5 linked regions of the Nothobranchius furzeri genome follow. The protein of the gene in region 3 purifies or fractionates together with the protein of the main gene of each other region. This does not show direct contact. Links are inferred from orthologs where the notes say so. Each region holds a gene or a part of one and is shown on either strand. Other genes may lie near its edges.

The links.
Region 1: the proteins of ran (region 3) and kpna2 purify together in Homo sapiens (affinity purification with mass spectrometry; 3 studies listed by BioGRID and IntAct, with this or other methods). This does not show direct contact. The link is inferred for Nothobranchius furzeri from reciprocal best matches to the Homo sapiens genes RAN and KPNA2.
Region 2: the proteins of ran (region 3) and ipo9 purify together in Homo sapiens (affinity purification with mass spectrometry; 3 studies listed by BioGRID and IntAct, with this or other methods). This does not show direct contact. The link is inferred for Nothobranchius furzeri from reciprocal best matches to the Homo sapiens genes RAN and IPO9.
Region 4: the proteins of ran (region 3) and nup153 purify together in Homo sapiens (affinity purification with mass spectrometry; 5 studies listed by BioGRID and IntAct, counting the BioPlex papers as one, with this or other methods). This does not show direct contact. The link is inferred for Nothobranchius furzeri from reciprocal best matches to the Homo sapiens genes RAN and NUP153.
Region 5: the proteins of ran (region 3) and nuclear cap-binding protein subunit 1 purify together in Homo sapiens (co-immunoprecipitation; 3 studies listed by BioGRID and IntAct, with this or other methods). This does not show direct contact. The link is inferred for Nothobranchius furzeri from reciprocal best matches to the Homo sapiens genes RAN and NCBP1.

Annotation. Positions count from the first base shown.
Region 1 is NC_091752.1:67,643,894-67,648,016, reverse strand, and holds the start of kpna2 (importin subunit alpha-1), read left to right. Parts: upstream 1-1,319; 5' UTR 1,320-1,403; intron 1,404-1,629; 5' UTR 1,630-1,673; coding exon 1,674-1,730; intron 1,731-1,815; coding exon 1,816-1,956; intron 1,957-2,126; coding exon 2,127-2,218; intron 2,219-2,303; coding exon 2,304-2,572; intron 2,573-2,643; coding exon 2,644-2,738; intron 2,739-2,892; coding exon 2,893-3,156; intron 3,157-3,270; coding exon 3,271-3,504; intron 3,505-3,590; coding exon 3,591-3,773; intron 3,774-3,858; coding exon 3,859-4,008; intron 4,009-4,080; coding exon 4,081-4,123. Other genes in the region: nucleosome-remodeling factor subunit BPTF, read left to right, coding at 1-11.
Region 2 is NC_091743.1:60,962,311-60,966,508, forward strand, and holds the start of ipo9 (importin-9), read right to left. Parts: upstream 2,810-4,198; 5' UTR 2,674-2,809; coding exon 2,514-2,673; intron 634-2,513; coding exon 572-633; intron 462-571; coding exon 375-461; intron 286-374; coding exon 84-285; intron 3-83; coding exon 1-2. UniProt on the Homo sapiens protein: Nuclear transport receptor that mediates nuclear import of proteins, such as histones, proteasome and actin. Serves as receptor for nuclear localization signals (NLS) in cargo substrates.
Region 3 is NC_091741.1:91,737,584-91,741,753, forward strand, and holds the start of ran (GTP-binding nuclear protein Ran), read left to right. Parts: upstream 1-1,369; 5' UTR 1,370-2,236; intron 2,237-2,729; exon of another isoform or gene 2,730-2,948; intron 2,949-3,071; 5' UTR 3,072-3,084; coding exon 3,085-3,129; intron 3,130-3,267; coding exon 3,268-3,352; intron 3,353-4,170. Other genes in the region: ndufs8b (NADH:ubiquinone oxidoreductase core subunit S8b), read left to right, coding at 104-235. UniProt on the Homo sapiens protein: GTPase involved in nucleocytoplasmic transport, participating both to the import and the export from the nucleus of proteins and RNAs. Switches between a cytoplasmic GDP- and a nuclear GTP-bound state by nucleotide exchange and GTP hydrolysis.
Region 4 is NC_091759.1:104,984-109,128, forward strand, and holds the start of nup153 (nuclear pore complex protein Nup153), read right to left. Parts: upstream 2,803-4,145; 5' UTR 2,769-2,802; coding exon 2,691-2,768; intron 431-2,690; coding exon 199-430; intron 122-198; coding exon 1-121. Other genes in the region: ptdss1b (phosphatidylserine synthase 1), read right to left, coding at 4,032-4,129. UniProt on the Homo sapiens protein: Component of the nuclear pore complex (NPC), a complex required for the trafficking across the nuclear envelope. Functions as a scaffolding element in the nuclear phase of the NPC essential for normal nucleocytoplasmic transport of proteins and mRNAs.
Region 5 is NC_091741.1:71,547,686-71,551,734, forward strand, and holds the start of nuclear cap-binding protein subunit 1, read right to left. Parts: upstream 2,805-4,049; 5' UTR 2,667-2,804; coding exon 2,633-2,666; intron 1,009-2,632; coding exon 920-1,008; intron 848-919; coding exon 747-847; intron 664-746; coding exon 507-663; intron 427-506; coding exon 319-426; intron 1-318. Other genes in the region: thiosulfate sulfurtransferase/rhodanese-like domain-containing protein 2, read left to right, coding at 3,050-3,175, 3,540-3,826, 3,926-4,034. UniProt on the Homo sapiens protein: Component of the cap-binding complex (CBC), which binds cotranscriptionally to the 5'-cap of pre-mRNAs and is involved in various processes such as pre-mRNA splicing, translation regulation, nonsense-mediated mRNA decay, RNA-mediated gene silencing (RNAi) by microRNAs (miRNAs) and mRNA export.

The sequences.
Region 1 (4,123 bases), on a different chromosome or scaffold from region 3:
CGGTCTCTTAGAAAAATGCTGTGTAGAAAATGCACTCGCCAAGAAAACGGCTTTTCCAGACCGACTCTACAACACGCTGCCGGGCGACCGAGTCAACCAGCACTGCTGCTTTCACGGCGTTTTTCAGACAGAGCTGCCCTCTGCACGTTTTCAGCTGCAAGGCGGGCGTCTCGGGACCTGTCTTCATAAGAAGCTCTGCACTTGGGAGGAGGTGGTGCGAGGACAGCGGAGGCACTTCAGATAAAGTTTACTTCTGGAGCTGAGCTCTCGATTCCGTGTAATTTTCTTTTAACCCTTTTTTTTTTTTGTAAAAAAAATCCTCAGGCCTTTCTTGTGGTCTTCATGTCAGCTCATAACAGAAACTTCAAGACTGATGTACAATGGCTGAGCTTTACTGAGCATCATGTACCATGAGATTCGTCTGAATTCAGACGACTATCTTCCCCGCCACTCATTTCCACTTATCTTTTTAGTCTGAGGTGGCATGAAAGAAAGTTTACTAAATATTTGGACATCAGTAGTCATCTTGGTTAAACTTCTATATATCCTACTGAAAATATGGTAAAAGGCTATTGTAAGTGAATTTGCAGTAGTGACTGAGAAGTATGAAAATTATGTATTTGAAGGTTCCTGCCCTTTTTGTATAAAAATGAAATAAAAAATTCATCAGTTCTTGACTTGATTTTTTTGTGTTACAAATGAAAAATATCTGAACTACACTGCATCACTCTCAGCTCGTCCATAGGAATCTCCATCCCTGACTAAAAAATCTCAAAATTACAATATATATTTACATAATTACTATAAATGTGTCAGATTTGCTTAATTGTGTGTGCCTAAATGTAATCTGAATTATTTATACATTATTTTCCCCTGCTGTCTCAAACAGAAACCGATTCTGACTTTAATCTCAGAATCCTGACTTGGTTTCTCATAATTCTGAGAAAAAAATTATAAAAAATGAATACACACATTTAAAACACTATTAGACACTCATTTATACAGTTTATCAGCAAAAAAAGTTAATTTAGAGGTTACTTGCTCTTTAAATATTAAAAAAAAACCTCACTCGACTTTAGTAAAAGTTTGCTGCTCCGTTTTAAATTAGATTTAGTTTTTGGCTTTCGCTAACTTTGGTGTGTTGGACATTTATTTTCTAGCCTACAAGAGTGAAAAGATTTATTTTTAACACTACAATCTAACCCAACAAGCGCTGTTATATAAGTCTCGCGATATTCTCGTAACGTAACGACATTTCCGGTGCGTGTTATGAAATTTTTGAACAGTCCAATGAACGCTCAGGGCTCGACGTTTGGGCTCGAACGGGCCAATCAGAGGCGAGTCTAGTAGGAATTTAAAGGTCTGTGCGGTATTTTCTCCATATCACAACTGTTCCAGTCCAGGTGAGTGAGGTCTTGCTGCTCATTCGGAAAGTTTGAAACGTGTTTACGATTTCTTCCCCTTCTGTTTCGTCTGTCCAAGCCGTGATTTCACTATTTTAATTAACTAGCAATGAACTAATTTCAAACAGGAAGTAAAGCGCTCGGCGGTTTCTGACGGCTCATGGTGTCACGAGGCAGCTCGGAGCAAATCGATTAACCTTCGTGTGAAATAAACGTGTTTCCGCAGGAATTGAACCAACTTTGCATCTACTCAAGTCCACTAGCTTGAAAATGTCCGAGAACGTCGCACGTCTGAACAAATTCAAGAACAAAGGCAAAGACGTTAACGTAAGACTCGCTGCACCCAGCGTCAGTGATCGGGGTAGAATGCGCAGACTTGTGTTGAACTTGAATTCGTTTGAATCTGACGCAGGAGCTTCGGCGCAGGAGGGCTGAGGTGAACGTCGAGCTTCGAAAAGCCAAGAAAGACGACCAGATCTTCAAAAGGAGGAACGTGTGCACAGAACCGGAAGAGGCCACTTCTCCTCTCCAGGAAAGAACTCAGAACGGCCAGGTGAGACTTCAGGTGTCATTCGTTAAGGACGTGGTCTGCATCTTAAGCTGTAGGGGGGTGAATAGTCCCAGTATCTGGTGAAAGTTGCAAACCCCGAGCCTCGTACTTTGATTTTGAGCCCTGTTTCTTAACTTTTTCCACTAAATTATGACCCACTTTTGCCCCATTAGCAGAATTTAAGACAATGGACCGTGGAGGAGATCGTTACTGGGGTGAACAGCGGTAATCTGGAGTCTCAGCTTCAAGCCACCCAGGCTGCACGGTAACAGTCTTTTTTTTTAACGTTGCAAATTCCAAAGTAAACCAGTATTGATGCAGTAACTTCAACCGTGATGTTCTGTCATCAGGAAACTTCTGTCACGAGACAAGCGCCCTCCCATTGATCAGATGATCAGCGTTGGTCTGATATCCAAGTTCGTGGCCTTCCTCGGCCTGACGGACTGTCCTCCTATCCAGTTTGAGGCGTCCTGGGCTCTGACGAACATCGCCTCTGGCACATCGGATCAGACGGCTGCTGTTGTGGAGGGTGGGGCCATTCCTGCCTTCATTAACCTGGTCCTATCCCCCCACCAGCACATCAGCGAGCAGGCAGTCTGGGCTCTTGGAAACATTGCAGGTAAGTGCAGAGTTATTCTTTAGGCAAGTTTTTTTTTAACCTAAATAACTTAAATTTTTTTATTTGTATAGGTGATGGATCTGCTCTCAGAGATATGGTAATTAAGCACGGTGCTGTGGCACCTTTACTCAGGCTGCTGGAAGTTCCTGACTGGACTGTCTTTAGTGTAAGTCTTCTCGGATTTTACATTTTCCAAGAACTCCATTTGGGAAATGGTCGCATTCCTGTAATCGTTAATCCCTCCCGCCACTAGGTGGTGTCCTAACCCAATAAAATAATTCACCCCTTTAGTCTGACACCTGCTCTTCTGTTCTCTGTAGCCTGGCTACCTGAGGAATGTGACTTGGACTATTTCAAACCTGTGCCGTAACAAGAATCCTTCTCCTCCGATGAGTGCAATCGAACAGCTCCTACCTGCTCTCATTCGTCTCCTGCATCACAATGACCTGGAGGTGCTTGCTGATGCATGCTGGGCCGTGTCCTACCTGACTGACGGCTCCAACGACCGTATCGAGGTGGTGGTCCAGACGGGGCTGATTCCTCGCCTGGTGAATCTGCTCGGCTTTGAGGCGCTGTCTATAGTTGTAAGTAACTTTTCTGGCAAGTATGGTTTCTGTGGGCTTCAGCCGTCTTAAACCTCGTGTCCTTGCACTGAGACACAACTTGGACCCGGTTGTTAATGGATCATCCTCCCCCAGACTCCGGCGCTGCGTGCCATCGGAAACATCGTCACCGGCACAGACGAGCAGACTCAAGCGGTGCTGGACGCCAAGGCGCTGACCATGTTCCCTCACCTGCTGCGCCACAAGAAGCCCAACATCCAGAAGGAGGCAGCCTGGACTCTGTCCAACATCACAGCTGGGAAGGACACGCAGATCCAGGAGGTCATCGACGCAGGCCTCGTTCCATACATGGTGGAAATGCTCGTTCAGGTATGTCGTCGTGTCACAAGATTGTTGAGTAAACTTTATTTTTCTTCTAACAGTTTAGAAATATATTTTTATTTTTGCTTCTCCAGGGTGACTACAAAACTCAAAAAGAAGCGGTGTGGGCAGTTACAAACTTCACCAGTGGGGGCACTGTTCAGCAGGTGGTGTATCTGGTGCAGGTCAATGTTCTCGAGCCTCTTCTGAATCTGCTCTCCTCCAAGGACAGCAAAACGGTCCTCGTCATCTTGGACGCAATAACTAATATTTTCATGGTGAGCACATGTGTGAATGGACTGGATCAGCTGATTTCTCGTGTGTGGCTTCACGGTCCTGAAACTTGTCTGTCGGATTCGTCAGGCTGGGGATAAAATCGGAGAGGCCGACAAGCTGAGTCTGATGATCGAAGAATGCGGCGGACTGGACAAGATCGAGGCGCTGCAGTCTCACGAGAACGAGATGATCTACAAAGCTGCCCTCAACCTGATTGAGAAGTATTTCTCTGAAGAGGTGAGTGTGGCAGTGAAGGTGTGACCAGTTAAATGTTTGTTTGTCTCATGGACTCGTGTGTTTTTGTTTTAGGAGGAGGAGGTGCTGTGTGTGGCTCCTGAAGCTACAGAGGAAG
Region 2 (4,198 bases), on a different chromosome or scaffold from region 3:
CTCTGAACACAACACAACATTGGGTCACCAGAATGTTTGACTGATCGAAGGCACCAGTGTGACTACATGGATGTTTCCCATACCTGTGAGGACCCTCATAGCCCCATGCACAGCATTGACATCTCCACTGACCAGCATCTCCATCAGGAGGGTGAAGAGCTGCGGCCACGCCTCGGGCCAATCCCAGTGGGCGATGGCTGACACGGCATAGGCGACACTGGAGCGAACTTTGCTGATGGACTCTCGCAAACCGCTCGGGAGCAGCTCCCTGATGTCAGCTTTAGCCTGGAGAAACACAACACCTGACTGACAATGTCTGGCTTCAAAATGCCCCAGTGGTTTCTGAAGCAGCTGTATCCAGGGGAGCGTTTTACCTGATCCGTGGTTTCAGGAGGCCTGAACTTCTCTGACTGGGAGCACCAGTGAGTCTCCACATACTGCTTCAGAATGACAGAGGCCAGCTGCAAACACAAATAACCCCATATCAGTCTAACTGCACGTCACAGCAACAGAAACAAACACGATCATGAAAAGGGTTCAGATTGCGAGAAACACGCATCTGTCTGCTCACCTGACGGATGGCAAGTGCCCCCCAAGGGTCAACTGTGAGTTCTGCTAGGTGGACACCAAATTCTGGAAAACCAGCACAACGACAGGGAAGATTTAAATAAACATTTCACACAAACTTTAATGACTGACTGCTATTGAGGCGACTGATCGAACCCCCCTCTCTGAATGTCTCAGATCAGTAACATGTTGAAGTCAGGATTAATTTTGACTTTGATAAACAGAAACCATGCATTTAATTGTCCAGAGCCTAAACCAGAAGCTACAACATCTCAGAAAAAAACACAACAAGAGCAGAAGATGCAAACAAGCAACAACTCGTGAGTTTAAAATGGCTTTTTAGATGAAGATGGAGCCAAAAGTGGTAAATATAAAACACAATTCAGAGACTTAAAAAACGCTGCGAGCGGACAATGATTTCATCCGCCGTTCAGCCCTGCTTCTAGCTGGGTTTTACAAAAGTGACATCAGGCGCCAGAAGACAATGTTAGTGCTGACAATCCCACAGAGCACCTGCCCGAGAGAGGGGCCAGTGTAAAGGGTCGGACTTAATGCAACACTGTGTGTGCACCGACTGTGCATGATTAACATTTCAGCTGCAGCATGAGAACTCCAGAACAATAAAGCAGTTTAGTCGAGCTGCACTCAGTATACACGCATTTCAGCTCGACAGCAAAAAGGAAATCATCTTTTATTTGTCACATAACATTTTCGTAGCTCAAAAATGATCAGCTGGAGATGGAGACAGACAGAAAACTAACAATTATAAACTGCATTTAGCAGAGGTGGTGCTGGGGAAAGTCCAGGGTGGGCAAGTGCCACCCTGACAGCTAGCTTGGACCTCCTGTGCTCCCCACCTGAAGGCAAACCCTGGCCACTAATAATAAACACTAAACACTTTTTGTTATAGTTTCACTTAATGCAAAATGTGGAACCAAAGCACGTGCATGCATTTGTACAAAGTTGAGATGTTATGAAATAGGGTTGGAATAACAGAGCCTGGTCCTCCTGGCACTGAGTTGCTTTGTACCCATCTAAATATCATTTTGGGATCTCAACACATCAAACAATGATTGTTGGACCAAGAAGAAACTGTTATGGTTTAGTTTGGTAAGCAAATGATGACGCATGTCCCGACGTGAAACACCTCCTAATGCAGCTGGACACTGGGACTTTCTTCGGCGGGCTTCGGTAGGCGCAGCCCCCCCCCCCCCCCCCCCCTGGAGATAACTTCGCGGGAAAATGTGTCAGTGGTTACCAGAGACTACGGGGACAAACTGACAGTCTATTTGGAAATAATGTTCGTATTAAAAGCTACATGTCGTTTGACATGGGACGTGAGGTAACGCTGAACTCAAATATGAGCTAAAACATCAGCTCGCTCGACCTTTGAACGTTTTTAAGTAACAATGATGGTTTCCGATTCATACAGGACGAAAAAAGAAAACAATGAATTATGCCAATTTGCAACTGTAAAACACTCAAAATGTAGGTCTTTACTACACACACGCGTCAAAAACAAGAATATTTGCGTTTCTGAGATAACTGAAGTGTAGTTTACCTTGCTGCAGAGGCCGGGGTCCAAATATTACCCATCCATGTGCTGCAAATAACTTACATGCTAGGTTTCCGCTAATATTTACGCCTAACGCCACTAGCTTCGCGGAGCAGGGTCCAGTCGGCTTTCCTGACAACGGAGCCGGGCTTTCGAGCCCATTACAGGACAGTGTTTTCTTTTCACTATCAAAACAGTTTCAGTCACCAACAACTTCTGAGAATATGGCCTAACATTAGCCACGGAGTTCTGCTAACGCTCCGGCTACTAGCTGGCTTAACAGCAGTCCAAGCCCTGACACAAAGCACCTCTCGGCCGTTTTAGAAGTCAATACTCGGATGATGATCACGCTTAACCCCGGGGGAGCCTTTAGGATCCGACCACCGCTTACCCTCAGTCACTTCCAGCACTTTGACCTGTTCCTCCGCGGCAGCGCGCACTTCTTGAACCGGAGACAGGATGGCCGTTAGCGTCTCAATCAGAGCCTCTTTCAGTCCCTGCTGGACGGGTCCGGCTGACGAACCGGCCCGAACATCGCCCGCTGCGTTCATGCCTGCTCCGTTTACTCTGTCGCACACTGCTCCACCACGGTGAGCTCTCTTCGGCCGGGGAGGTGCGGTGAAGCACGGCCACAGAGCTGTAGGTGCGCGCCAATGGAAGAGAAAGCGGGAGGCGGGGTTTCGCCGGAGGAAGCACGTTCAGTAAGCAGCCTGGTTTTAGACCCACGTGGTTCTTTTTTGTATATTTATGTTGATGTTGAACTCTGGCTCCCTCTAGCGGCCCGGTGGGTGTAGACCTTCGAGGAATTTTCCATGTTGCTCGTTTTTCTCGAGTATTTTAACACTAGGAAACCGCCTAACACACTAATGCCGATCATCTGTAGATAAATGTTGGTAAAGTAGGAGGGAAAAAAAAGAATATATATATATATATATATATATATATATATATAATTTGCAAGGTTTATTTGTAGGTTAATGACTATTTAATTTTGGTTCGTTTTACCTTTGGAAAGCTTTCTATACATATAAGGACGGGCAATGAACTTGTAAGGTGTAGCTCCAATAACATCAATGCAGTAGGTGTTCAATACTTGTGCATGACTTACATAGTATGCCTGTCTCCCTTACAGTATGCTGCATAGTTCTGAACCCAAGTTTAATTTTCATTCAAGGTTTTTAGTGGTCGAATGTTACAACAATAGCTTACTGCCTATGTGTATATACATATACTACTTTTATTATTTTTCTTTGAATTATTGTCTAAGTGTTGGTGCTGCTGTAACAAGTGAATTTCCCCACTGTGTGATCAATAAAGTCTACTCTATTCTATTCTAAATAAACTATAGAAGTTTAGTTGAACAAACAAGAAATCCCCACTACTAACCCACTAATCAGACTGCAGGTCAGCTGGGCATGATTTGGTCAACCCATTTAGTCTAATTTATGAAACCAGTTAATCTGGACCAATCAAGAAGCATCTAGGGTTCAAAATCAGGTAATTTATCAAAGTGAGTTCCAAGCTGCTGATGTTTTGCAGCATCATCCTGCATCAGTACCAGGCCTCCTCTTGCTGTTTGGTAATTTAACTGAAAACCTTCCCATGTTGTTCAGGTTTACAAATTCATGCAGATCTCCAGTTACAGATTTTGCTCACTCAGCTAAGTGTAAACTCACTTACCAGTGCAGCTTGGGTGACAATGGGGACACAGATGTAGGGGCGTTGACATAAAAACAAATCAAATCATCACTGCTGCACACCGGACAGAAGAAACCTTGTTTGCTGAGATTTCAAAGGAAAACAAATGAACTGACATTAGTCTATCAGGGTGATGTGTTCCACATTCTCAGGCCAACGTTTGGTTTTTCCTACAAAAACCTGACACAGAAACCAATGAAAGGTGGATGTTGTTGACAATGGTGTAAGCTGATTTAAAGGAAGTGACTTTGGTGATAAAGCCTGATTTTGGGGTGTTTGAAACAGTTAAATCCTGCTGAAACTGCCCACCTCTTTGTTAAAGTCTGGATTAAAACCCGATTTAGTTTAAGGCATGTGAGCAGTTTTATGATTTGGAGA
Region 3 (4,170 bases):
CATCAAACAAAAAGCAACACTTCTTCCACAAAAAAGAATCGCTGCTTACCTTTTCCTATCCAGTATTTGCTGTTTGATATTTTTCTCTCAACCTTCTCCTCAGGGTCCAAACTTTGAGTTTTCTACAGAAACGCACGAGGAGCTTCTTTACAACAAGGAAAAGCTGCTCAACAACGGAGACCGATGGGAGCCTGAGATAGCAGCCAATATACAGGCAGACTATTTGTACAGATAAACCACTTCTTGTAAAAACAAACCATTTTGGCATCATGCTTATGTACATTATAGAAATAGCTACATGTTGTGGAGTTAAAATGCTCATTTTGAAGCAAGCCCAGTAATCATACATTAACTGGCCATAAACAAAAATAAACAAATCTAACAAAAGTTGTTCTAAAAGCTTTTTTATAGGCACACCTTCACTGTTGAGCTTTTTCTGTAAATCATAAAACTTAACTGAGTAACTTAAATTTTCATCTTGTATTTATGACTGGGGGGGGGGGGTGGCTCTGTTGGTTAATCCTTTATTAGAAAAATAACATCTTAAATCATTTAGATCCTGTTGTTGTCAGGAATCAGTCTTGCTGCTTCCCATCTAACTGAGGTTTATATCCTCAGTAATGCGTGTCTCTCTGAGCTAAACGGCTGTTTAGTCTGGTTACATTGGTTAGTCCTTATAATGTGTTTCTGGAAATCATTTCACTATTCCCTCGAGTTCTACTTAGTAAGCATTTTTGCAAAATTTTCTTTATCTTTCGTTATTTTAGATATATGGCAGTTTTTAACCTAATGATGGTCTCATGCGGTAATGATTTGACCTGTCTCCAACTGACTCGACTATTCCTTATCCACAGAATGTTTTCTACTCAGTGGATCAGCCAGGGTTAAATACTACAGCTCTTTTGCCATTGGCTAGAACAGGTTGGGAGCTTTCTTGTTGGTCAGGCACTGTTTGGCTTGTTTTGTTGTAGGATTGGGTTAGTTTGAACTGTTCATGTGTTGAATTCATTTGTTTTTACTCACTGATATTTACAGACACATTAAAACATTTTTTATTGTTTTTAAGTTGAACATTTCAATGTAATGCTTCTCCAGAACAACTGAGGGTAATTAAATAAACCATATTTTAAACCTAGGCTGGTGTTAGATTAGTTGGAGAATTGGGAGTGAAGCATACCTGCAGCTTCTGATTTCAACCTCAACAGAATTGTTTTGACCAGTTTGAAGTGTATTTTTATATAAAGGATATAAGTAATTACTATTTTATTTAGCTTTCTGAATGGACTGAAACATTCAACAGGATTGATGAGCTAACAGCTAGTTTAAGTGCAATCACAACTTGAAAAATGTCATAGCAGTTTAATAATGTAATTTAAAAAGAGTACAAATTAGTTTTAATTCTCTCTGCTTCTTTTGTGCCTCATCAACAGTCATAACATGTTTTTCAGGAAAATTCTTCAAGCTTGTTAGATCTGTTTTATTTAACTGCATGATCTAATATAAAACACAGGCCCAGAATCATTTGAACCTATTACTTGGTCCCATTTCTGTCAGCTCTGGTTTGCAGTTTCCACTAAGGTATGAACTACGGGTGAAATTATACAAATTGATTATGTATTTTTAAACCAGATGAGTTTTAAAGGCCACTCTTTAACCCTGCGTGTTAACTTTGCTACAGGAACAAACAATGGAAGAGCCGGGGTTAAAGCATGGACATAAACACAGAAATGTCTATAGAGTTAAGTAACACATATCATCGGGCATCTGCCTCCCTTCATTACTCCGTAATCTTTAGAGAGCCTGAAAGGGGTTCCTGAAGTAGAGAAGTACAGAAAGACACTGGTGTCTGGGAAAGGCTCCTCCTGTCAAAACCTCCTTTTAGTGCAAATGTCAAATTTATGATTTATAACCCCGAAGGTCCTTGGAAGTTTTCAGAAAAGGGCAGAAACCTTTGAACAACAAAAACTAGCTGGCTTCTTATCGGGCCCATATGTCTTGATCAACACTTTAAAAACATGATATATACGGTTTAATCTCTAGAAGTGTTGCTTTGAGAACAAAGCAGCGGAGTGCGCATCGTGAAGGTATATCAGACGGATGCTGATTCATGTTCTATATTTTATGCGTTTTTGGCGCTGCGGAGGCCACGTGACCAGGGCGGAAAGTGACTCATAGTCCACGCTGAATCTGCCGCGAACGCAGCCATTTACTCTTTCCTCTCTTCGCAGTGACACCGGTGAGTCGCTAGTTTCCTCTTCAATTGAGGGCCTTCCTAAATGTCAAGTTTGGATTGTTTTTAAGTCACTAAGAATGAAACAAAACTTTTTGGGTTATTTTCTTCTTTTGGGTTAAGGTCGTTTTGCATGTGCAGCCTTAACAGCAGTTGAGGGGGAAAGGCCGTCGCATTTTTTGTGCTACCAGCTAACGGGGAAGAATGGCTTCCATGCTGTGCTAGCTGTGAGGCTAGCGAGCACAGCAATGCTCCATTTCACGGCTTTGTTCTGGGATATTTGTTCCTATTACTCTTATTTGTGTATATTTGCCAGGGAGTTTTCACAATTTTTTCTTGTTCGCAATTAACGTTATTTACGGAAGGCGTCTTGTTTAGACCAGAAATTGACGGCAACATGGAACGCATTAGCTTCTGTGACTGTCTGATTGTTCCAGTCGAACCTGAAAAAGTGCGCTCAGGCATCATATGGCGCACTAAACTAACGCCTGTTAGCTTGAAGGCTAGTTGGTAACCGCCAGTGCTGAGGCTTTTGGGGGGCACGGTAGCTTTGTTTTACTTTATATTTTGGCACACCGGAGAGCAGTTAGAGGCTGTTTGTTGATGCGTTAGCAAGCTTTCATAAATTATAACGTCGCATTTGAACATGTCGGAACGTTAGCTTGGATAGAACATGCTAGAAGTTATCCCTTAGCTGTAAACTCGTCTGTACAGAATGGTGCGTGTTCAAAGCCCCGTGTGAACAATATTCCCAGAATGCCAAATTGAGTTATTGAGAATCTTTAACTTAAATCAACGTATAGATAACACTAACGGTAGATTCCCGCCTTGTTTGTTTCAGAATATTTGGAACCATGGCTGACTCTATGGGACAGTGTGTACCTGTGGCGGTGTTCAAGGTAAGAATCTACTTCTTAAGAATGATGTTAAGTATGATCTAATTATGGCGCGTGAGGGCAAAAATGTGTGCGTTTTAGCTGAGGTAACTGGTGTACCAGCACAAACCGGTCAGTAGATAACTGGTCTGTTCTTCACAGCTGGTGTTGGTCGGAGATGGAGGCACGGGAAAAACAACTTTTGTGAAGAGACACATTACAGGAGAGTTTGAGAAGAAGTATGTTGGTGAGTAACCTGAGAAAGTTAAATGTAAACTGTACAAGACTAACCCAGTGTTTGTTTTTACCAAATTAGGTTTGCCACTAATGTTTAGAACATCACATTTACAGAAAATATTGTAAAATCGCTGCATCACAAGTTTATGACACAGACGTGTAAAATGCACAGTTCTGGTCTTCCTGTGAAATTAGTGTTTGTTGAAATTACTTCATAAAACAAGTGGTTTTTATTATTCTTGTAGTTGAAAGATAAACACAACTATTTCATGTCCATGTTATTTAAAACCATTCTCTTATCAAGTCTATGAATAATAGGCCAAATAAGAATGACTGTCCTCAGTAATCCCAAAGAGTGCAAAAATGCAGAAATTCTAAGTACTAGTTACTCCATATAGCTAGCTATAAATGACTTCCAGCATCAGTCACATAACTGATTGTAGTAGATGGAAAATCAAGCAATACCAACCTTTTTATATATTAGTTTAACAAACTTGGTGTCATTCTGCAATGTCTGAAATTCTACAACTAACAGCTGCTTTGGGTTGGTGATGTTTTTAAATGGAAAACGGTAAAACAATGAGTCAAACATTATTTTTTGTGAAACTATACAGGGTTTAAACTTGTAGATAACATCTTTGTCCTAATTTATATTGAAAAGAATTGAATGGGAGAGAAGGGAGATCCTGGATGAATACTGTTCCCGGTATTATAAATATATTAACATGTCAAACATTCAACATAAAGATGATGAATAATGTGTACTTTATTGATCCCCTTGGGGAAAATCATTCTGTTTGATTCATTCATGAGAAGCATTAAGCTACC
Region 4 (4,145 bases), on a different chromosome or scaffold from region 3:
GAGGCTCCAAAAGTAGGGGAGGACACATCTAGCGGGTTGAAGTGGAGGTGAGAGCGACTAAGAGGAGGTCGGGAGAGCACGTACTCCTGAAAGTTCAGGGATGCGTGACTTGTTGAGGGTTCTGTGCAAATGAAAGGGAAGTTAATATCATGAATGACAGAAGAAACAGCAAAATGTTGTTTCTGAGCAACTTCTAACCTGTGTTACTGGTGCTTGGCTCTGGTGAATCCCGTCCATCAAAAGAAGGAGGTCCTTCTTCATTACCATTCGGAGGAGGAGGAGGAGGAGGAGGTGGCAGCAGGCAGCTCTGGTCTGTCCGTTGTCCTCCCTCTCCTCCTTCGGGAGCATCTCCGTTCTTAAAGTATTTCTGCAGCCAGGAAGGAACGATGCTCTTCACCGTGTCCGTCACTCGACTAATCAGGCCTGACTGCTGCAGATCAAGACACAAGAAATATGGCGTTAGACAAAGAATATACAAGGAATGTAGAAAAACAAAATAATAAGCATGTTTTTGTTACATTTCCAGGTTTTACAGATGTATATGTCCCCTAAAAGAAACAGACATAACCAATCACACAGCAAAAATGAAAATAATTTTTTAATGAAAGAAAAACAAAACAACTTTACTTTGGCGTATAAAAACTTGCTTTTGTTGTTACAAAAATAAATAAACTAAAGAACATTTTTCAGCTTTACAGAAACAGGATTTATTAGTTGGGCGTTGTGTGGTTTCTCATTACCAACCCATGTTGGCAGAACTGAATGCTGCCATTGCCACAATTATGAATGAAGGCATTTGTTTCCTCCTTATGGGTGTTTTTTAATAAGTAAACATCATACTGGGATTACCCACTGTTAGTGTCACATATGTACCATGATGGCGGGCCTAGCTATAAGAGGGATGGGTTGAAAACCTGCTATTCATGAATCATCTAAACGATTCCACTTTGATTAACCCAAAATACTGAGTTTGTTTCATTTCATTTATAAAATCACTATCCCATCTTTTGTTTATTTTTCCCTTTCATCTAAAGAAAACAAGACTATGTTGAACAGAATGTGCTCCAACTAGTCTGCTGCACATCAACAACTGTGGTGACTTGCAGCAAACTGCAAACATGGTTAAATCCAGATTTATTTTTCTTCCAAGTCAAAATTAATAATCTTAATGTTTCTATTAAAAGTGAATTAAAGTTGTACAAAAAGCAACTGGACTTCTTTTAAACTCCCAGAGAGATGTCAGATTTTCTGCAGCTCGTCTCAGGTTGCTGCAATTTGTATTTGACATTTTTGTATTACCCCAAATTTTCCAAACAGTTAAACATTAATGACTTGTGCAGTTGGGTACTTTCAGAAAAACTTTTCTGATCTTCGTGACATGGCACAAATATTAGCAAGAAGCAAGCATGTTGCTAACACAAGAACTGAATGTTTAATTTACTTACCATGTAAATCAAAAAGCCACAGCAAATCTTTAGTTTATTAGCATTTGCAAAACTAGACTTTACTTGTTCTTGTCGTTATTTGTTTAAAATAATGCAACTTCTTCTAATTGTAACACCTCATAATACAACGCTAATAATGTGGTAAACAGCAAGGTTGCGCAATAACCTACAACCATCAGCTTTGTGTCTGCCACTAACCTGCATGTTTAACATCTTATGTACTTGTTTGATTTCAATAAAGGCTGATTTATTGCAAAAACATGAGTGCCAGGCCTGTATAGAATAAGAACATACAAGTTTTAAAGTGAGGTGGAAATGGATGCACATGTTTTGATGTAGCAGAGTTGTTTATGGTCAACTTAGCAAATTTTAAATAATTAACGGACAACGTTTGTCATAAAAACACTGCTGACAAAGTAATTATTTATTAATACACCGACCTTAGTTAGATATCATTTCTGCAACTCTAGAGACTTAAGCATTTTATTATAAACACACTATGTGGAAATTTTAAGAGATGACAAAACAGATCAGAGAAACCGCCGAGTGCCCAGCCACGTCTTGCCTAATGTCTACATTTTAGAGTGCTTTTAAAAACGTCAACTTTGACATCAGGGCGGTAGATTATCCCTCAGGGGGACCATGTGGGTTCCCAATAAACCCAACGCTCCTTGCGCAATTCTGCAGGCTGAGATTTGACTTACACTAGTCATTTATATAATACCTCAGTGGTATTATTGTACAGCTGCATTATAAACGTTCACGTACTTAAATAAATATGTAACGACGGAATAAATGATCGTGTCACTTGAATCTGCGATGTTGAAAAGCACCAAAGACAATGCGTTGTACGCCGATGCTAGTGGGTTAGCTCCAATTAGCAGCTGAAATTCTACTTCCTCGCTTCGTGCTAACTTGGCTAATCACTTTCAACTTACAAAATTATTATCTCAGCTTTTCATGTAGGGATCTGAGCTAAAACAAAAACTAACTAAGTTTTCTGGACGATACACTGTCGTTATTTGACTGTCAAGTCCGTCTAATTTTGCTAACCTTAAGCCAACTTGCTAGTTTGTTAGCATTTCATGGGCATGCTAGCGGCGCGTGGAGGCCACGAGCGCTAACTGAAGGCCATAAAATGTCTCAAACAAAACAATAACAAAACAAACTGAAGAATTGTGGCAATTCAATCACTGTGCTGTGCTCGACTGAGGCTGTTAACACGGAAACTTTCACTTGATTTACCTGTTTACTCTTGGCGTAAGGTTTAGAAGCAATCTGACATCTCCTGCTTCTAATTTTCCCTCCACCCGTGGCCGCCATGGCTCTGTCGTCTGAGTGAGTCTGCCGTTGTTTCGGCGCCGGATAGCTGTCATCCAGCACAGCGGCCGCCGGCAGATGAATTGTGGGTAATGTAGTGAGTGACCATAACAAAAGAGGTCAAGGGCTCTTTATGGAGCCGTTTTTCTGTGCGCAGCATTTATTTATTGGATTATTATTTATTGAGACTGGGGTGAAAACTATTAGCTTATTTAAAAAAAAAAGAATTCAAGATAGTCTTGAAATAAAAAAAATGATTGATGTTGTTTTCATTTATCTGATAATAGCTGGCTACCCCTAAACAATTTTCACAGGGGCGGCCAGATGGGGGGCAGTGAAAATTTGGGGTGGCACACCAAATTGGTCCCCGTGGCAATAATAATTTCAAAATTGACAAACACAAACATTTCAGAATAAATCCAGTTATTACTGGCCTTGTTTCATATTATTTGACGGTTTTAAAAGTTTAATTTACGCATTGCTGTCATAACAAAATTATTGGGATTTATGCCTTTTTATTAAAATGAGGAGGTTCTGTGGCACAAGCATATTTTTAAATACAGATTTATTGAATACGGTATTTATTGTTACTTATTAACAATCGATCAAAATAAACGTACTGACATCTATTTATGTCTTGATCAAAAAAGATTAATGTATGATTTGTGTGAACATAAATGTGTTTTAAGGGAGTGTGTGTGTGGGGCAGAGGGCTTCCACAGGTCACGAGGCAGGGATGGCCAACTATTTTTTAAAGATGGCAATGCCCTCCCTATTTCATCGCAGACCTAAAAGAGTAGGTCAACAAGGGCTACATTCCATTTCTGCAGATGCACTTACTGGTTGTAAGTGGAACGGAGTACGGTGAAACAGATCTACAAAAAACAGTTTTTACTTTCAACATTCTGAGCCGTTTGTTGAATATTTACACAAAATAATCCAGACACCACCAGTGTACATGTGTGTGTAATGCGGAAGAAGATTAGGGCACTGAAAGAAAAAAAAATTTAAATCAGCTGTAAAACTTATGACTTTATCAGTGGCCCCAATCCTCCTCCGTAGTATGAAGCTTCATTGCCTTGAATTTTAGCTTTTACACTCAAACCTGAACCGGAGTCAACCAGACAAATGTTTTTATTAGCATTCTGGATTTTTAAAATCACTGATGCAACTTTAAATATGCATTCAGTATAATAATATCCCTGCTGTTTCATGTTACATCCATTCTTCTTCTCAGAATGAATGAATATTTATTATTAGCGTTGCTCATTGTCTCTTTTCTCCATGCTTGATGACAAATCTGCTCTTGGAAGGAACCTTCCTCCATTTTGTGGGCTGCAAACTTCCCAGTGAATCCGTTTGAGCTACGGAACAAATAAA
Region 5 (4,049 bases), about 20 Mb from region 3:
TAATCTGTTAACAATTCTGAACAAATCTGTTTCCCAAATAACTGAATCAGAATGACATAACCCAAGTTCACGTTTACCTTTATTTATTTACTGAATCTTTATTTAACCAGATGAGTCAATTGAGAACTCATTCTCATTTACAACAAGGGTCTGGCAAGAGGCATTAGCAACAGACACATAATTAGCTTTACACCAAAGAAAAACAGATAAGATAAAAACGTTAGACAAAGGACTGTTCTCATATAAAATATGTACAAGCAATTATAACAATCTTTAAGTACTCAGAAGCAGGCATATTGATCAGAAACTGTTGATTACCTGTGGGACATCCTCCTCCTGAGTAACACTCACAAAGTTTTCAAACATGGCCACCATAGAAGGAGCAGCAATCACGTGACAGTTGACCAAGTCAGACAGAAAACGCACCTGAAAACCAAAAATTAACCCATCATGATGAATTTTAAACTCCCTTTTGTGAAGATTTATTGTGTGAAAATCAGCTTTACCAGGTAAACAGCTTCATTGTACAAGTTGTTTTTCAGGGTCTCCTTCAGCTGTCTGATCATGGCCTCCACAAACTCGCCTCCAAAGTTGTAGTTCCTGGCGTTGAGAAGGCCGACCAAGGTTGTGTAGACGGTAAGCTTCTCAGGTAGCAGGCGGGCGCTGTTGACACACAGTGCTTTAGTAAAGTCTGCCTTCTGAATGCCTCTTTATTAATCAGAAAGCAATAACCTATACAAACATACACAGAACATAAAATACGCAGAATTTTGTTTTTGTAGTTTGGAAGATCTGCCTCTAAGACGCCCGCAAGGCCCTCCAAGTTGCTCTCGAGGGATGATGTACTCTGTTAATAACAAAATACAACAGAGTCAAGTGATGGAGATTTCAGAGCATCTCTCTGTCTGTCTGCTCTTACTTTCTCCCCAACACGACATATCAGGGATTCCAGACGATCTTCAATCTCAATAGGTTCAGAAGTTCTCCTCCTCTTGTGAGCTTGACCTCCTGGTGGGTAAAAGAGTCACACAATCAACACATGTTCATAAACTCTGACCGACACCACAGAAAACACCAACAGAATCTGCGTAAATGAGTAATACATGTAAACACTTGCATATTTATTTGATAAAGGTTGTGTTGTGCTAAGAAACACCTAGATTAACAGAAATTAAGCTGATGTTTAAAAGCTTACACTTTTTAATCGAAGCAGTGCCTTTTAGCAACTTCATCATTGTAACCCAATAAAGGTATTCCTCTGTTAAGGTCACCAGACACAGACATCGCCACACCATAACCCAGTGTCCTTGCATGGCATCAGGGGGCAGACAAGTGTCCGAGTTCAGACTCACTCTAGTTCAGTAGACAAGAACATCTAATCCTAATGTTCAAAACAGTATTATCTATTGAAGATGACAGGCCAAGTGTGTGTGTGTGAGTGTCTTGATAAGGCGTAAAGACTTGCGCAAAAGAATGAGCAACACATCAAAGTTGATTCCTTTAACACAGTTTACGGAGTATGAGAAAGTTTCTTCTCCTAACTCACATCAACACATGAGCCCCTTTTTAGATAATTAATCTGTTAGCAGCATTATAAAAGGAGAATGTCAATACTTTAGCAATTATTCTGTTCCAGAGTGAAGTTCAAGGCTTTTAATCCTTGCTATTTTGACCTGTTGAGGACATACTGACAATGAGACATTATCTGCTTGACAAACCTTCTCAGTGGCCTAGTGGTATGGGTCTCCACCCTGCGACTAGGAAATCAGGGTTCAAATCTGGTTGGGTCATACCAAAGACTTTAAAAATGGGACCCAATATCTCCCTGCACTCAGCTTTAAGGGACTGCATTGGGGGACTAAACCACCAAATAGTTCCCAAGTGCAGCCATCGCTGCAGTTCGCTGCTGCCCACAAGGATGTGTCAAATGCAGAGATGTAATTTCACCAGTGTGCGATGATGACTAATGGGACTTTAAATAAAACTGACAACAATGGAAGGTTTCTGAAACATTCACTTGAAGCTCACACATACTTTTAGGCAGTTACATGACTATTTAAGATTTTTCTCATTCCATGTTTTGTTTTCCATTACCAGCATCTGCATATTATACATGGGTTCAACTGTGAACACATTTCTGTACAAGCAAAAGGGAGAAACGTTTAAAAATGGAATACGCACTGCTTTAACAAAATCAATAGGACAGACACTGGAAATCAAATATTTTCTCTAGAATGATGCTTGTTAGCAGTTTAGCTCACCACATGACGTGTCAGGATTAATTTCCGACTCAGTTTTACACTTTTAACAACTTACCAGAAATGATCCAATTATCAGGTTGTGTATCTTTTACTCATTGGTACCGCCTCCATATCAGTTTAGTTAGCCATCAATCAGCTAACAGTAACAGCATAGGTTATTGGCGGTTGTCTTACGCTGTTCATTCAGCTTCGCTGTTTAGTTTTGCACAAATGTCAGCTGATAACGAGTTTGCTCTTTTTAATTTTGATGGAAGCTATCCAAAAACTCCACGTGTATTAGCAAAACAAATAACCAACATGGGTGAAGGAAAGGAAAACACGCTAATGTTAGCCTATTAGCCTAAAGTGTGACTGAATCTCCGCCGATTTACCGTCATTCTCGTCGCTGTGTCGTCTCCGGGACATATTAGGCCACTTTAAAATCCACACAAGACAACCAAAAGAAAAAACCGATATGAAACGAAGCAGCAAGTCGGACGAACTAGCTGATACTTAGTTAATTTAGCCTGTGCAACGCAGAAACCACCGCAGAAAAATAACAGCGGTATGATTCAAGTGGAGAACTTCCGGGGCAGCACGAGGTCAAATGAAAAGTCCGTCCTCCTATTTCGTCCGACATTGTCGGAAACACGTTTGTGACCTTTTTTTCCTCACCGTGTTTGAGAGTTTATGTTTGGTAAGATGGCAGCAAATAAATGTTAGGACAGCAAGGCACGATCACTGTCTTAAAATGTATTTAATTTAGACAAAAAATCGACTAACTGGCAGTGTTTAACAGCTTCGTTAGGATGGAAGCGATTGAAACCGGCTGCTTCATGAATTTGGATGTTGATTTTTCGACAAGTAATGGATTAAAACAGGAGAGACAACTTTCTGCCTCACAAAGAAGATACTACAGTTTCTGCAGAAGAAAGGTGGGGAAAAAACAATGACCGTTTGTTGGCTTTATGATGAGCTAAGTTATAATAATAATGTATACTTTTTTGTGTATTTCTGATTTGAATGCTGTTTTTGTATTGGTGTACAGCGCTTTGTTTGTCCTCCTGGGCATGTGAAAGCGCTCAATAAATAAAGTTGAACTTATATTATGTAAATACTGGTTTATTTAAATAGTTGTAAATGCAGCATTTATTTTATCTGTTTACATGTCTGACAAATGTTAGGTATCAAAATAAAAACAAAATAACCTGCAGCGACAAACTTCATCCCACATTAAACTTAGAATTTTGCACACATTTACTTAAACTAAATGCCATTCGTGCTTCTTCCTTTTCACAGTCATTTGCTGCCTTCGTAGCATCGAAGAAGGAGTGTGCAGGAAAAGGAAGCACATCTTGGTGCTGCTGTAGCCTGACCTTCGTCGAACATGCTGAGATTCACCAACATGTGGCCAAAACTCACAATTCTAGTATACAGCAGCTCACGCAGGCCACATATGAACATTTGCTAAGCCAGCTGGAAAAAGACACAGAAACACAGCAGCTGAAAGGGAAAAAGACGGAGGCAGTGGACATTTCAATGTGGATACCAGATATCAGCCACATCCCTGAGGGTGAACTAAAAAAGTAAACAGAATGGAGTATATACATATCTATATCCATCCCCTTTATAGATTTGATCAGATTTCAACATATGCAGATTGTTTATTTCTTGTTTTTATGAAGTGGTCCTGGGAAGGTTCTGCTCTATTATTGTTACTGTGAAGTGGACGATCCACATGCTGTCTGTGCATGGCAGGAAGCTCTGTGTGAGTCACTTCACCTAACCGGCAAGGTAAGAAAACCCTTT